Linked DNA regions of Lonchura striata. The protein of the gene in region 1 purifies or fractionates together with the protein of each later gene. This does not show direct contact. Links are inferred from orthologs where the notes say so. Each region holds a gene or a part of one and is shown on either strand. Other genes may lie near its edges.

Region 1 (7,712 bases):
TGCCATCCCATCTCTGAGGTCTGTGACAGTGGCCAAGGGAAATCAGTCTCCCCATGCAAGACCTTCCAGTAAACAACCCTCTAGTAGGAAGGGTGTAGTAGGTAGGCACAGACAGGCAAACCTCACCTGGGACACCTGGGCATGGATGACACCTGGGAGAAGGCAGGCAGCCATGGAGGAAGCTGATTTGGGATCACTAGATGGTGCTGTCGACCTTGAAATGGGAACGACAGCGCTAAGACGAGGGAACAGCTGAGCTTACAGCCAGAGCATCTGCACAGAGCTATGGTTGACTAACAGCATCCTGCATGCTGCTCAAACACCAGATGGACCTGCCCCTCAGGCTCTGGCAGTGAAGCTGTAGAATGGGTTGTATTGCTCTGGGGAATGGTTTCTCCCTCCCCAGAGACCTCTGTAGCTGTGACCTGTTAGTTTGACCCTTCCTTCCTTTCCTGACATAATTGGCTGGGAGCCAAGTAGCCCTTACTGTACTGAGCCTAGATAAGGCTCTGCCCCTTCCTGGTTCTCTCTCTTTCCCTCTTCCTCCTATGGAATAAACATCTTGGACCACATTGGGGGTTGGAGCCTCTTTTGGAATCTTCACCCAGCTCCTGGAACACTCTCCCCTCAAGGCCTTACAGATGTGGGCTAGCCTGGTAACTTCGGGGGGCTGCACAGGAAGGTGTCTCAGAGATGGAGAATAACAAACACAGGAAAATCAGGAACTGGACATGATCATGCTGTGCCCCACCCCATGGCCTTATGTCTGCTCTTCTACACCCTGCAGGAACCATGGGGAACAGGGACAATATTTCAAAGCTTGTGCTGCAGTAGGAGTAGATGTGAAAAGGGACCACCAGAAAAGGCTACTTTGATGTGGACTATCAGGTGTTATCTCCCATCTCCAAGGCCCTGGCTGCCCATGAGTGCTCAGCAGAACTCATGTACCCTGGCAGTGATGCAGAACATTGTTTTGGGATCAAGCTCATGGAGTGTAACAAGCAGAGCAGTGCCATGGGCTGGCAGCAGGTATAGCTTCAGCACACAGCAGCAAATGATATTGCAAGGGGAGTCGTGGCTCGTGGCACAAGGGCAGCTGGCATCGCTGGGGAGAGGATGTTAGGTGCAGTCTGCCTCGCCAGCCTTACAGACACATGCCTGATGGAGATCTCTGCTGCCACCCCCTTCCTGACCCATGCCAGCCCCACCAACTCCAAACTCCTACTCCTCCTACTGGGAAGTGGCCTCACCTTTGAGACCTGCAGGACACACAAAGTTTTAAAGTATCCTGATTTTTCTCCCAGTTTCAGTCAGGACAGTGTTAATTTTTGCAATAGCCAGGAAGGGTCATGGCCAGGACCTAGAGGCTATTCTGTACTGAATATTTAAAGAAAAAAGAAAAAAAAAAATAGAGACATTTCAGGCTATCTTAATTTTTACTGTTGTGGACACTGACACCTGTAATCTATCTGTGTAACCTTACTTCATTTCATCACTGCAATACCTGAGTGCCTCCCCTGTGGATATCCTGGCTCACCTGCCATTCCTCTCTTTTACAATTGTATGTCTGAAACTGGGCCTTAATAGGAGAAGAATCCTCTCAAAGCTTTATGCAAAACCATAGAAGAGATGGAGCAGCACCGGCTTGTGCTGCCATAAGCAGAAGCTGGGGCACCAGACTCCCTCTGCTTCCCTTATGCAGCATTCTTTGGTGCTGAAGGACCTTCTGATACAGCTCTTTATGGTGCTCTGCATGAGTAATATGCTACAGGCAAAGCTGGGGATGGAATAGGCACTACAGAAAGAGGGAAGATGGAGAAAACTTCCAGTGCTACTTACAGCAGGTTCAGCAGCAAAAAGCAGATTGTGGGTAAGAAAGAAGACAACCAGGTAAGGATGGTCCCTCCATCCCAGCTCCTTGTCCTGCGCTGGCTGCAAACCAGCCTGGAGGTGAAGGGAAATTACAAATGCAAGGTCAAATCCTCCCAAAGCAGCCCCAGGAGATGCAGTTCTCACCTGTGTTCAGGGTGTTCAGCTGGCACCCAGCCAGGCGGCTCTGTCCATGCTGCCCCTGCAGTGCCTAGACAGCACATTGCTCCTGCTGCTGCCCCAGCTCATGGGACCAGGAAAGCCAACACCTGCCTCTTGCTGCCCTATCTGGGGACAGCAATATGCAGTTCTTTCAGGCTAAAGTGAAATACTTGGATTTTCTGGTGTGCAAGTGATCTTTTTTTGAGATCAAGAATGGTGTTTTGATGCCAGTTAAGATTTTGGCCCTGGGACAGAAACTGTTGACTAGTGAAGGGCGGGGGAGGCCAGTGGAGAGGCTATGTGACAGCCATGGGCTAGGGCAGCTGAAGATTATTTCATTACGTCAGCATGGAAATTAAGATTGCATAGGAAATCTTTACTGTCTCTATACCTTCTGATCGTTTGATTACAACTGCACTGTGGTTTTAATCATGCTCAACATAAAATTTCCTGAATTTTGTACATGTTCACTAAAAAGAGAATTCCATTAAGCAAAGTTCTGATTTTCTCCTAGTTGTCCCTGTATGGCTGTTTCTAAATCACTTGTAAGCCTTTTCTGCCATGCCGAGTATTACACAGCACAGAGCCAAGCAAAATAAAATGATCGATATTGTAATGGACTTCTCATCGTAGTACCATGGCAGAAATAATAAATGTCATGATATATGACAACCCTTCTAAATCCCTATGGAGCCAAATGAGACACAGTAAGCATATATCTCCTACTTCCTACCCCTGCTTTTCTTCTCTGTGTGTGTTCCTCCCACATTTATTTCCTCCATAAAGGAAGACTGTAATTGTATTGAACGTGACTCTGCAGACAGGAGAATCTGCTGTGGTTCCACTGTTCCCTTCAGCAGACCCAGGTGGACTTCTGGAGCTGCAGTTTGTGAGCTGCTCAGTGCCCTGCGGGGCAGGACTTTTGGTGGCTTTGGCCAGCAGCCATGTCCTCCTGCTGGCACTACAGGTAAATGCAATTCACTCCCTTCCACTATTACTGTGTAGGATTCACCTTCCAGCTCCAGTCTGACATCTGCCTCATGCCATAACTTCATTTGAAATTTAGATAATAGTTCCCATTTTCAATCCAGCCCAAACAAATGCCTTATCTGCATCTTTGCAGCTTTTAAGGCTGAGATGTCTGATCAGTTAATGATGTCTCTCTCTGCCAGGGACACCAGCCACTGCACTTGTTGGAATTTCTGCCTCTGCTGCTCCACAGATCCCTGGGCGTATCTTAGGGCAGCTGAGGGTGTATCTATAGTGGCAACTATTTTCCCATAGTTGCCACTCTTCCTACCCAGCAGTAATTACTTCGTAAAGGTAATAAGAAATTAACCAAACCAAATGTTAGAAAATGAAATAAACACTGTTTGTTCTCTGGTTCCTTGTGAGACTTTAAGGGGAGTAAATCACAGAATCACAGAATATCCATCCTCACTCATATGCTAAACTGTGCTCCAATTTATTCCTGTACCTTGTTTTCACACACAATTTAACTATTATTGAATTTTGGTCAGCCTGTGGCAACCACCAGAAACACCTCAGTGGACAGCCTGCCCTAATGTTAATAGGATGGTAGGGGATCATATCCTGGTGAAACCATGTGTATCCTGTGGAACTGCATTTGCTGTTTGCAAAGGGGCCAGCTTCATGGAAGAGCGAGGAAGGGGAGTCTTTGACAGCGTAAGTTTCATTTTCCCATTGTGCCAGTTATTCTTCAGTTTGTCTCATTTTCAGCAACATCATTTAATGTTGATCCTTTATGAATTCCAATGAAGGTAACTCTACAAGTTACACATTTCAAATCAGAAGGGAGGTAAGAGCACCAAGAGCCTATAAACTTTTATTTTTGCAGAGTAAGTGTTCAGGTAAGTGTGAGATTAGTACACAAGTGACCCTTGTGCAGATCAGCCCCAGGACACGATGGCCTGGGATGTGTGGATGATGAACCCAGCCCAGGGGCAGTGATGGGCTCCCACCACGGTGGCAAACAAGTGCTTCCAGGACTAGTAGATCTACGTATAAAATAACCCTAGAACTTTTAACTTTGTTGTGACAGCTTTCCCCGTGCGCTAATTTCACATTAAAAAGTGGTTTGCCCCCATCATCCGCCAGCTGAAAAGGAGGTTCCCAGAGTGTTGTTGTCCCTGGCCTTCAGAGCCAGTGGCGCAGGGAGCAGTAGCTCGGGATGGGAGCCCATCCTGACAGGCAACGCACAGGAAGGGAGCTGCTTTCGTTCCTGTATGATTTTAGTCAGAGATGGCAGCAGCAGCCAGCTGCCGCCACAGAGCGAGCAGGGCGCGTTGCACCGCAGCACGGCTCTGCGGCCGGGGAGCCGCTCGGGCCGGCGCGGCTGCAAGCTCTGAGCCGGGCCCGGGCCGCGGCCGCGCCCCTTCGCTGTCCGCGCGTGCTGCGCGGCCGGGAGCGGAACGCTGCGGTCCGCACCCACGGCTCTGCCCCACGTGTGGCGCGGCTCCCCGCGGCTCCCCGCGGCTCCCCGGCGGCGGCCGCGGGCCCTGCGGGCGCGGCGGGCTCGGCCCCTCACACGGCCACGGCCACGGCCATGGCCCCGCCCCCTGGCGGCCCGCGCGCGACCACCGTCAGCGTGCGTGCGCAAGGGCGGCGCGGGGCGCCGAGGGACGGGCCCAGCGCGCGGCTCTCGCGAGAACACGAGGCTATATCAGCGAGTGGGCGGGCGCGAGGCTTCCTTTAGTGCGCGTCCACCCGAAGCGTAGTGTTCCCGGTCGGTCGTGCCCCAGCCCCGCGATGGAGGACAGCGCCATGGACATGGAGAGCATGGGCCCCCTGCGCCCGCAGACCTTCCTCTTCGGTAACGCTCGCCGCGGCCACGCTTTCCTGGGGCCCGCTGGCCCCGTCGCCCCCGCAGGCCCCGGGGCCGAGCGCCGTGCGGGGCCGCGGCCTGTGCCGGCCGAGCGCCGCCGCTCCGCGCGCGCGGCGGGGCCGGGGGCTCGGGCGGGACCGGGGGCTCGGCCGGGGGCTCGGGCGGGGCCGGGGGCGTGCGGCGGCCGCTTCCGCGCACTCCGCACGTGGCGCGCGGCCCGCACGTGGCGGGGCCCGTCGCGCTCTGTTCCGCGCTTTGTTCGCGGTGTGTCCCGCCGTTCCTAAGGATGCGGCGCCCCGGCAGCGCCCGCGGAGCACGTGGCAGCGCGGCCGGAGGCGGAGCACGTGGAGCGCCGCGGCCGCGCGCGCCTTGCTGCTCCGGGGCAGGCCCGGCCGCCACGGCGGCGGTTCCGGAGGTGCCATCGTCCCGGGCACCGCGGCGGACGCTGGGCGGGGATGCTCTGGAAGCTGCTGGGTTTAACCGGGCCGTGCGGGGAGCTGCGTGGCCGCCAGCAGGCCGCGCACTCGCGCGGGGTTTTCTTCACCCCACGTGTTCCGCTCCTTGCGTGCCCGCAGCGTGCCGCTACTTCCCTGCGAGTACGCGGCCTGGGAGCAGCAAGCTGCCAAGTAATGCTGTTTTAAATAAAGCAGGAGGCTTATAATTGGATTGTTTTACAGGCTGCGAGCTTAAAGCAGATAAGGAGTTTCAGTTCAAAGTAGATGATGAAGAAAACGAACATCAGTTGTCACTAAGAACGGCAAGTAGTGTTTGTTTTTTTTTGCTTCCCATTTAAATATACTGGTGTGCTGTGATGGTGTGTTTTTTAACGTGTCATTTATTTCTCCAAACATAATTCAGGTGATAATTGATATGTAAATCTGTATAAAGTAAACATCTCTTACTAGCAGTGGGGCATATTCTGTAATTTCAGATATTTTCTGTATTGAAAACATTTCTTCACTGATGTTTCATTCACAGCAAACAAATGCAAGGCTGGAAAACGTTAAAAATCAACTTACAGTTAGCTAGTAAATATCTGCTAAATTGAGAATTTAGGCTATACATGAGGCATCCCTAAGGTAAATAATGCAGATGCTACAGGAGCAGAGGGAGAAAGATAGATGTGTAAGAGTCATACATAGGCACACTCTTGTGGACTACTATAAACCTGATTTTGAAAACCATTTCAGTGTGTTCCATAAGCTGACTCTAACTCTCTCTTTCCCAGAAGCAGATAATAAGTAAATCTAAATTAGACAGCAGAAGGTTTATGTTTTGACTTACTGTCCTTGGTTTGGCCTTTCCAAGGATGTAACTGGGAAGCCCCATCTTTCATTCAGATAATTCATCTAGCAGACTCCCAGGAGTTCTTGGGTGGGTCCTTGGAGCTTCCTGAGGCCACACAAGTCAGACACAATATTTCAAGGCTTTTGTTCTTGGCTGATCATGTTTTTTTTGGGTAGCAAATCAATAATGTGCACTGTCTTAGCCGTCAAGAAATTAAAGAGTTGTAGCATCTTCATGGCATGTTCCTGTGTTTATTTAAATGCAAGGAAATGCTTTGATGCCTGGAAGAAGAAAGTCTTAAAATTGTTGACTAATTCCTACAGGAGAATTGATTCCTGGAGGTCACTTGCATAATGAGTATCTCCAAACACTTAATGGTGTTACTTAAAACACTTCTTTTTTTTATGTGAGTCATGTGTTTTCCATACTATATTATGAAAAGTACAGCCTGGACTTGACAAAGAGTAATTTGTTGTTAATTACAATTCCTTTTGATGGAAGAACATAGCAATGTATAGGGCAAGTCCACATGCAGATTTCTTGTATCTGAATATTTGTTACATAGCCAAAATTAGTGATACTTAAATTGTATTGTTTTACTCAAGAGTTCCTTTTCTATTTATACTTTCAAAATTAATTGTAGCATTTCTTCTGATGTTGTACAGATGGATGAAGCAGATCAATCCTCACCACTACTTTGTTGCTAGGCTTGTGGGGGGAATTAATCTTCTGTCAGTAACTTCTTTCCATAGAATAAAAAGGGATGATGCACTGGAGAAAGGGTTAAGATACCAAAGGACAAACTAGGAAATGTTTAAGATACTTGGAGGGTCTCAGACATGGTTTAAACAAAAGACCTTGTTGAGTAGAGGAAGGACTTAAAAAAAGGTAAAGGCGGCAAAAACCTGCGGGCTGGTCTATGCTCCCGATAAAAGCCTAGATGAGTAAAGACAGTGTTAAAATACAAATGCAGTGGGGGACTTGGGCATGAGGTACAGCAAGATGGGAAGAAAAGGGTAAAAGGGAAAAGAGGTGGATAAATGTAGGAGGTAAAAGTGCCATGAGTTTCTGTAAATGTCTTACTAATGACAGTTGTGTATAGGGATGGTCACTGATTCATCACCTATTTGGTGTGCATTCCTTCAATATAGAAGTTAAAGCACAGGCATGGATGCTTGCCAAACACAGAGAAATAAATCACAAATAACTGCTATAGTATTAAACTAGGGCAAATGACAGGGTATGCACTAAAATTTTTGTCCCACTAGCTGAGCAATTCAGTGTTGTTGACAGCACATTTGAGAGGTGAGATCAGAGCTGCAATTTCACCTCTTTGAATTGCTAATAACAAAATTTGCCAGTAGTGAATCCAGTGTTCTGTTTTCCAGCCTTCAGTCTGATACATCTAAATCTGGACAATTACAGTCTCATTAAAGCTCAGCTCTTGAAGAATGGAAACTTCCGTGCCTCTGCCTGAAGTGTTCACACCTACATCTCCTGTGGGGGTTGGAAAGATTTCTTGTGAGGGGTTTCAGGAAAGGAAACACAG
Region 2 (7,454 bases), on another chromosome or scaffold:
CTCATGCAACAGAATTCAATCACAATCCATTAAACAAGCATCATATGAGGATCCCACACCACTTACCATCTGTTTTCTTTTTCTTGGGCTCTGGTGCACTTTTATTGGCCATTTCTTTCTTCCTCTTTCCAGGTGCTTCCTTGACAACAGGTTCTGTGCCAGAAAACAGAACAACACTGTAAAATACAGAACTTTTCCTGAATTGCATCAATACAGGAACATTAATCCTTACACTATTCATACACAAGATCTTCTCCTGTTACTCAGAAGCTGCTCCTCAGTACAAAAGGCCACTGTAGCACATTTCTGCTTAGGCACCATATCTGTTATTAAAGAGTCTCAAAGCCACTTAAACTTACTTTCATCTTCACTTTCCTCTTCGGCATCCTCTTCATCCTCCTCCTCTTCATCATCATCCTCATCATCATCCTCATCTTCCTCATCTTCAGATTCTGCTGCCTTGGCTTTCACTGGTGCAGCCTTGGCTGGAGTGGCTTTTTTCACTGGAACAGGGGCTGTGTCCATGGCTTCATCTTCAGACTCTGAAACAAGATGAGCACGGTATTCAGACAGTTCCACATTAAGCATATTTTGAAACTAAGAAAACAAAATACTGTTAAGCAAGATGTTTCTCATGCCTCCTGAAATTTGTATGTTTCCAGGAAAATTGTCTCTCTGCCTTGTGTTTTACTGCATTAAAAAAAACCCCAAAACCTGTTCACCAACAGTAAGAAGTTTTACTGACAAAAGGGAAATTAACATCCTTTCAGCAACATGGACAACAGCAACCAGCTAAAACCAGCCGAGCACACACTGCATCAATCCCATTATCCTTTAAGTAACCTCCCTCCCCCAGGTCCCTGAAAGTGTTTAATAATAAACATCTTATACCATCTTCTTCATCATCTTCTTCATCATCCTCTTCATCCTCATCCTCCTCAGAATCCTGCTTTGCTGGCACAGCTGCAGGCTTTTTGGCTGGTACTGCTGCAGGCTTTTTGGCTGCAGGCTTCACAGGCATTGGTGGCTCCTCTTCCTCATCTGCACCAACAGTACAAGTCTTTACTACTAAGGTTCAGTGGTATAGGTAAAAAGTGCTTAGAGCTTCCCAAAATTTTGCGCAAAAGTTCAGGAAAGGGCAATCAAGAAACTAGGAGATGTTTTACACGCCGTGTGTAAGGCAGCTGCAGCCCAAGCTCTCCTCCAAACTTCACCCATTGCCCACCTCTCCTTCATAACCCCTCATTAATCAATGAACTCCCCCAAGTATTAATCACACAAATGCTTCCAATTCCAAAGGGACTCATATTTAATGACTTGATTGAACCAGCTTTAGTCAATGCCTATTTCAAAAGTAACTTACCCGAATCTTCTTCATCCTCCTCATCATCATCTTCGTCATCTTCATCATCTTCTTCACTCTCCTGCTTCTTGGCATTCTTTCCATTTTTTGCTCCTTTGGTTAGGACAGCAGCCTTTTTAGGAGTTGGAGTAACAGCCTTTTTCGGCTGTGGAGTAGCCACAACCTTCTTTGCAGGTGTAACTGCCTTTTTTGCAGGAGTAGCAACTTTTTTTGCAGGAGTTGCAGCCTTCTTGGCTGGGGTAACAGCAACTTTTTGTGGTTTCTTCTGGGGGATCATCTGAAAGACACATTAGTGTAAGATTCATGCTGGCCTGTTTAACCTACCATTACTTCACTATCAAACATACAGCAACTGAAATCTACAGAGTAACCTGACAGGTTCTGTAAATTTACCTTAAATGCCCACTCAGATGAATAAAGGTCAAAAACAGCTTTTTCATGCTTTCAGAAGCCTACTTATGGAACATCAAAGCACCTCTAAACTCCCTGGTCCTGAACAAAGACCAATTGTGTCTATTAGCATTCTATACCTTGGAATTTTTACACTTGCACATAAACCACACGTGGACAAATGTTACACTGCTGATTACTAGAATAATTAGGTACCCACATGCTTATCAGCTTTAGTATGGCTTTAAAACATCAGAAGCACTTCCAAAAGCTTGGAAACACAGTAGCTGAGCTATTTTTCCCCATAATGCTTTATTCTTACAAAATCCACTTTATTCTTTAGCCACAATTTATAGAGAAACACCGACTATTGATTAAACGCCTGTTACAGTGTAACCCACAACCCTCACGACACTTCTGTGTAACACGTGCGTCCTTTTGCCTCCCCTTTCTAGATCAATCACCTCTTCTCCGCTGCTTTCGTCTAGATCAGAGGACTCCTCTTCTTCACTTTCCTCGAACTTTTTCGGGGGAGGAGCCATTTTTTTCTGTTTCATCTGATTCTTCGGGGTCTGCAAGAGAGCGGGAGCAGCACGTTCAGGTGCCGTGCTCACCCGGGTCGCTTGCGGGCGCCGCTCGCTCCGGCGGGGCGATTGTCCCCACCACGTGGCCGCCCCGCGGTGGCGGGGCCGCGCCCGCCGGTGCGCGGGGCCTTCCCGGGAGCTCCGCGCGCCCCCACGTGCTCGCTGTCCGCGCGCCCCACGTGGCCGCACTGTGACGTAGCCCCGCCCCCCCCACCCCGCGCGCGCCCGCACGCGGGGCCCACCCGCGTCCCGCACACACGCGCGCGGATCCCCCGCCCCGCCGCCCGCTCCCCTCCCGCCGCCGCCGCACGGAGCAGAGCGGGACAATTGGGGCTTGAATCCACTGCCTCCGGGCCCGCGGCCCCTCCCCTCGCCGCCATCTTCACGGCTCGGGAGAACAGGCCAGGTGCCGCCGCGCGGCCCGAGCGGACGGCGGCGAGAAGGCGGCCCGGCTTCCTCCCCGATACGCCGCCATCCGCACCCTCCCGCCCCATCATGGCGGCGTTGGACCGCTTCCCGCCCGGCGGCTGCGCTCCGCCACTCCCTCACCTTGGTGATCTTCACCATGATGGCGGCGGTGCCTGGCGGCGCAGGGGCGGCGGCCGAGTTGTGTCGGGAGCGGAGCGGGCGCGTCCGGCGGGGCGGCGGCGCGGCGGGGATCGGGCCGCGGGCGAGTAGCGGGAGCGGCGGGGACGCGCGGGCGGCCGGGCCGGGCACTGACACGAAAGAGCGAGCGCGCGCCCCTTCCGCCCCCTTTGCTAGCCCCGCGCCACGCCCCGCCCCCACCGCCCCCGCTCCGACCAATCGCCGCGCGCGCCCCGCCGCCCGGCCAATCGCGGCCCCCGCCCCTCGAGCCGCCGCGCCAATCGCCGGCGTTCTGCGATCGGCCAACCGCAGGGCGCGTTACAGCCGCGGGGCCGAGCGCGGGGGGGACGCACCGCCCGCCCGGGAGGCCGCGGGACGGCGGCGGCGCGGCGCATGCGCGGGGCCGGGCGGCCTGGCCGGGCCCAGGGGCCGCACGTGGCGGCCGCGGCGCCGTGCCGGGCCCGGGCGGGGCTCCGGGGCTCCGGGGCTCCGGGAGACGCCGCCGTGCCCGGCGCTCACGGCGGCCCCGACCGCCCCGGCGGCAGCTCGGCGTGCCGCTCTGCCCGAACACGCTTTTGCCTCCCGCTTTGGGGCTGTCTCTGCCCCAGCGCTATCTCTGCCACCCACTTCTGCCTGGCTCCGCATCCCCTCCCCGACCCTCGGGAAGCACAAAGCACCCGTGGGCAGCTGAAGGAGCTTCCGTAGGAGCCGGTCAGTGTGCTGCTGCTGCTGCTGTCGAGGTTGTGGTTGCACTCTGCAGCTGCCAGCCTTCACTCCTTCAGCTGGGAGAAAAGGCCCAAAATGAAAGAAAAAAATAAGCCTGTGCTTGCCTGATGGATGCTTTTGAATGCAGTCACTGCAAGAAGACACCACCTTTCTCCCTGTGGAATTTTTCCCCGGTGGCTGTAAATTGAGGGTAGAAATGACCCCAGGGCAGACCCGGTACCCCTGTTTCACTTGTCACTCTGCTGGCCGGGCTGGGTGCTGCCTTGCCACTACCTGACACAGAGTGGCCTCCATTGCTGGGCTTTCCCTACTGCCTTACCTCCCCTACCCTTCAAACTGGGCATCCAGCCAGCTCCTGGGGGCTCCTGACTCAAGCATGGGTGACTGTAGCAGCTTGCTCATCCATGGCCTACTTGAGATAAGCACCTGACTTGGGGAACATGAGATCCTAGTGAGCCCCGGAATAAAAATGCAGACTCTCAATGAGTGCCATCCTGCATGGCCCTGGTGCCTTTGAGGGGGCACCCCAAGATTGTTCAGTGCCACACTGTGGCTGAGGCAATATACCCAGCTCTTAGGCTGTCCTATGCCTCTTTCTCTGCTGGTTAAGAAGAGGCAGTTTCCAGGCAAGCTGAGCTAAGGGCAGCTGCTCACTGAGAGGTGATGGGATCAATCAGCCTCTCCAGGAGTAATCCAAGCCTGTGCAGGGCCTGCCACCATCAGCCAGTATGGGGAGGGAAGGAGCTGGAACAAAGTGGGATACTGCCTGTGTCCCAGTCCTGGTCACACACATGCAGGCAGATGGGGATCCCAGCTGGCAAAACCCTTGTGTAGGGCAGCTGGACCCTGCCTGTGAAATAGCAATGTCTGGCTCATGTCCCACTGTGTGCTGCAGGAGCTGTCCCCAAGTGGGGTCACTGCATGGGGAAAGCAGTGACACAAGACTAAGTGTGGCCCAAGGGGATGCAAAGTGATGGAATGGAAGACAGAGAGACCTGAAAGTGATTTTTAACTGTCTGAAGCAAGAGCTGATTGCACTCTCCTCACCACGCATGTGGTTCAACAAGATCATGTACCATGACTGCCTGAACAGCTCTGCTGCCTGTGCTGGGGCTGGCCTTGCTGGTTTGTCATGATAAAGGTACAACTGTTGCTTTAGCCAGGGGCAGTTTTGGCAGCTGGGACACTGCATTTGGCCAATACCAGTGCCAGCAGTGGGATCTGCAAAGGGCTGGGCTGGCAGCTGGCTAGTCTTGGTTCCCAACCCTGGCAGGGGAGTTCTCAGTATGGCCTGTGTTCAGTCCCATTCCCCAGCAGTGTGTTGGAAGGTTGTCCTTGCCTCTGGTATCTGTGAGGCTGCAGTAGAGCCCAGTGTTTGGGGAAGGAGCACAGCACCCCGTGCAGAGGAGTGAGAACCAGCACTGGCCATGAGGCTGTGCTAATCCATGCTCTGTGTCAGTCCATGCACTGTGCTAATCCATGTTCTGTGCCAATCCATGCTCCATATCAATCCATGCTCTGTGCTAATCCATGCTCTGTGTCAGTCCATGCACTGTGCTAATTCGTGTTCTGTGCCAATCCATGCTCCATATCAATCCATGCTCTGTGCTAATCCATGTTCTGTGTCAGTCCATGCACTGTTATCCATGCACCATTGAGCAGGTCTGGATATGGCCCAACCCTGCCAGCTGCTCTTATGGCCAAAAAGGGCCCAGGACATTGCAGATGCCAGTGTTTAGGCTGGGTTCTTCCCTGTATCCCATGTGTGGCCAGGATTTTTCAGCCCTAGCACTGGGCAGGATGATGCCGGAGTGGAGCAAGGCCAGCCTTGGGACGCACCATATTGCAGGGCTGTCCCTGCTGTGGCTCAGCACAGCCCAGCTCCTCTGCAGGCAGCTCCAGGAATTTCAAATGCCGAGGGAAGTCTCACAGAGAAGCATCAGTGAGAAGGGTAATTTGGCCAAAAGAGCAGGTTTGACAGCTCTATTTGTGCAGTAAATACACTTTAGGTCATTTTATGGCTGTCTCTTGTTGTAGCATGTGTGTGGCTGGGGAGCGCTGCTATAATTCCACAGTTAAAGGGAATTTAGCTGGTTCAGTGGAGACCCCAGGAGGGGTTTGCCGTGGATTCTCAGTTTCTGGCATAGCAGACGCTCACCCTGTGCTTTTCCCTACCCGGCTGCGGCTGCCCAGGGCCTGGAGGGGGGAACTGCGCTGCGAGGCAAACGCGGCCACCCAAAAGCCAGGCAAACTGGGTGGCCAGCTCGAGGGGAATCCCAGCTGAGGTGAGTGAGGGAGCGCTCCCAAACGCCCCGTTCAGGCTGTGGCCGCCGCGGGTTTCCACTAGATGGTGGCAGAAGGCTGCGTGTCCCGGCTCCCCCAAACCCTGCTGGGCGCACCTGAGCGGCGCATCCCGCCCTGCCTCCTTCGTGCCTCCCAGGACGCATTTGGTACTCGCCGGGTAGCAGCAGCACCAAGTGCATTCGGGAGAGGAAAAGTTTTACCTGTGGGTGGTGCAGGCGTCTGCTGCCAAAAAAAAATTGTCAGGGATCTCCAGCAAACATCCAGTGGGTGCTCAGAGAAGGGGAAACGAGCTAGAAGAGCAATGAAATGTGTCCCTGAGCACCTCAACCTGACATCACCTGCTGTGTGGTCTGAGCAGTGATCTGATGTGTACAGCATGGCAAAGGTGGCAGAAAAAAAAAATCAAACAAATAAAACCCCACCAAAAACCACTATTAAAGCAAATTTACTAATCCTAGGTCTAGGTGCTGCTCAAAACCTCTTGAACAACCCCATGCTGCAAATCCTTTTCTCCTCTTGGTGCCCACCTCACCCCGTCATGTGCTCCTATGCCAGCAGGTACCACAGCTGATGGATGGTGACCCAGCAGCACCAGGCACTCAGGGGTTGTCCTCTCTCTTCCCAACTGCACAGTTCCCCAGGCCCTGATTAATGCAGGACAGAAAATTAGATGGGACTGTGTGGTAGTCTAATTAAGTTTTTTCTTCATTATCCCCCTGTCTGTGCCAAGAGGAGAGTCCTCAAGGATGATGAGCATGAAGTGGGTGCAGAGCTTGCTGTGACAAATGGCACTTAATTCAAGTAGTCACAGACAAGTGCACGTCCTCTGCCTTGAAATGGGCAGCTTGAGACACACTAGCCTGCAGGGATGAAAGTCAGCAGTGTCTGGCAGAGTATGGGATTTCTTCTCTGAGAAGTATCCTTTCTTGAGGAGGGATGCTGCAGGAATTGGCAAGGGACCCTGGAGACAGGCATACCCATTGTCACTCTGGCAGATGCTGTAGCATTTCCTGGGGTTCATGGACAAGGAAACCTACAGGTGACTCCCACAGAGAGTTTTGTACATGCAAATTTAGTCTCCACATGCCCTCCAAGTATTCCTTGTAGGGATAATTTCTGGTACACTGCAGAAAAGAAGGGGATTTTTATTTCCAGAAGGAGCCAATTCCCCTAAGATTTCCCTTGTGGCAGGCCAATTCCATTCCCCAACACGCCTTGCCTGGAGCTGGCAGCAGGATCTTGTGGTGTGCCTGTGAGCCCCCAGCAAGCCCACACAGCCACCCAGAGCCTCCCAGCCAGGTGGACTCTCCTCTGGATCTGCTCAGCAAGAGAACAAGTGCAGCCCTGGAAAAAAGGATGCGTGAGAAAAAAGTGGGACCAGAAGAGGACTTGCAGTAGGTGTGAGATAAAGAAGAAAAACCAGGATTGGGAGATGTGGAGCAATTTGGGTGGTGAGAGGAGACCTTGGGAGCACCCTTCTCTCTCCACTGGAGTAAAGGAAA

The links.
Region 2: the proteins of NPM1 (region 1) and NCL purify together in Homo sapiens (affinity purification with mass spectrometry; 8 studies listed by BioGRID and IntAct, counting the BioPlex papers as one, with this or other methods). This does not show direct contact. The link is inferred for Lonchura striata from reciprocal best matches to the Homo sapiens genes NPM1 and NCL.

The regions. Positions count from the first base shown.
Region 1 is NC_134617.1:17,420,618-17,428,329, reverse strand, and holds the start of NPM1 (nucleophosmin), read left to right. Parts: upstream 1-4,699; 5' UTR 4,700-4,800; coding exon 4,801-4,864; intron 4,865-5,553; coding exon 5,554-5,633; intron 5,634-7,712. UniProt on the Homo sapiens protein: Involved in diverse cellular processes such as ribosome biogenesis, centrosome duplication, protein chaperoning, histone assembly, cell proliferation, and regulation of tumor suppressors p53/TP53 and ARF.
Region 2 is NC_134612.1:18,077,038-18,084,491, forward strand, and holds the start of NCL (nucleolin), read right to left. Parts: upstream 3,021-7,454; 5' UTR 2,905-3,020; coding exon 2,887-2,904; intron 2,326-2,886; coding exon 2,218-2,325; intron 1,641-2,217; coding exon 1,364-1,640; intron 1,042-1,363; coding exon 892-1,041; intron 543-891; coding exon 360-542; intron 154-359; coding exon 67-153; intron 1-66. UniProt on the Homo sapiens protein: Nucleolin is the major nucleolar protein of growing eukaryotic cells. It is found associated with intranucleolar chromatin and pre-ribosomal particles. It induces chromatin decondensation by binding to histone H1.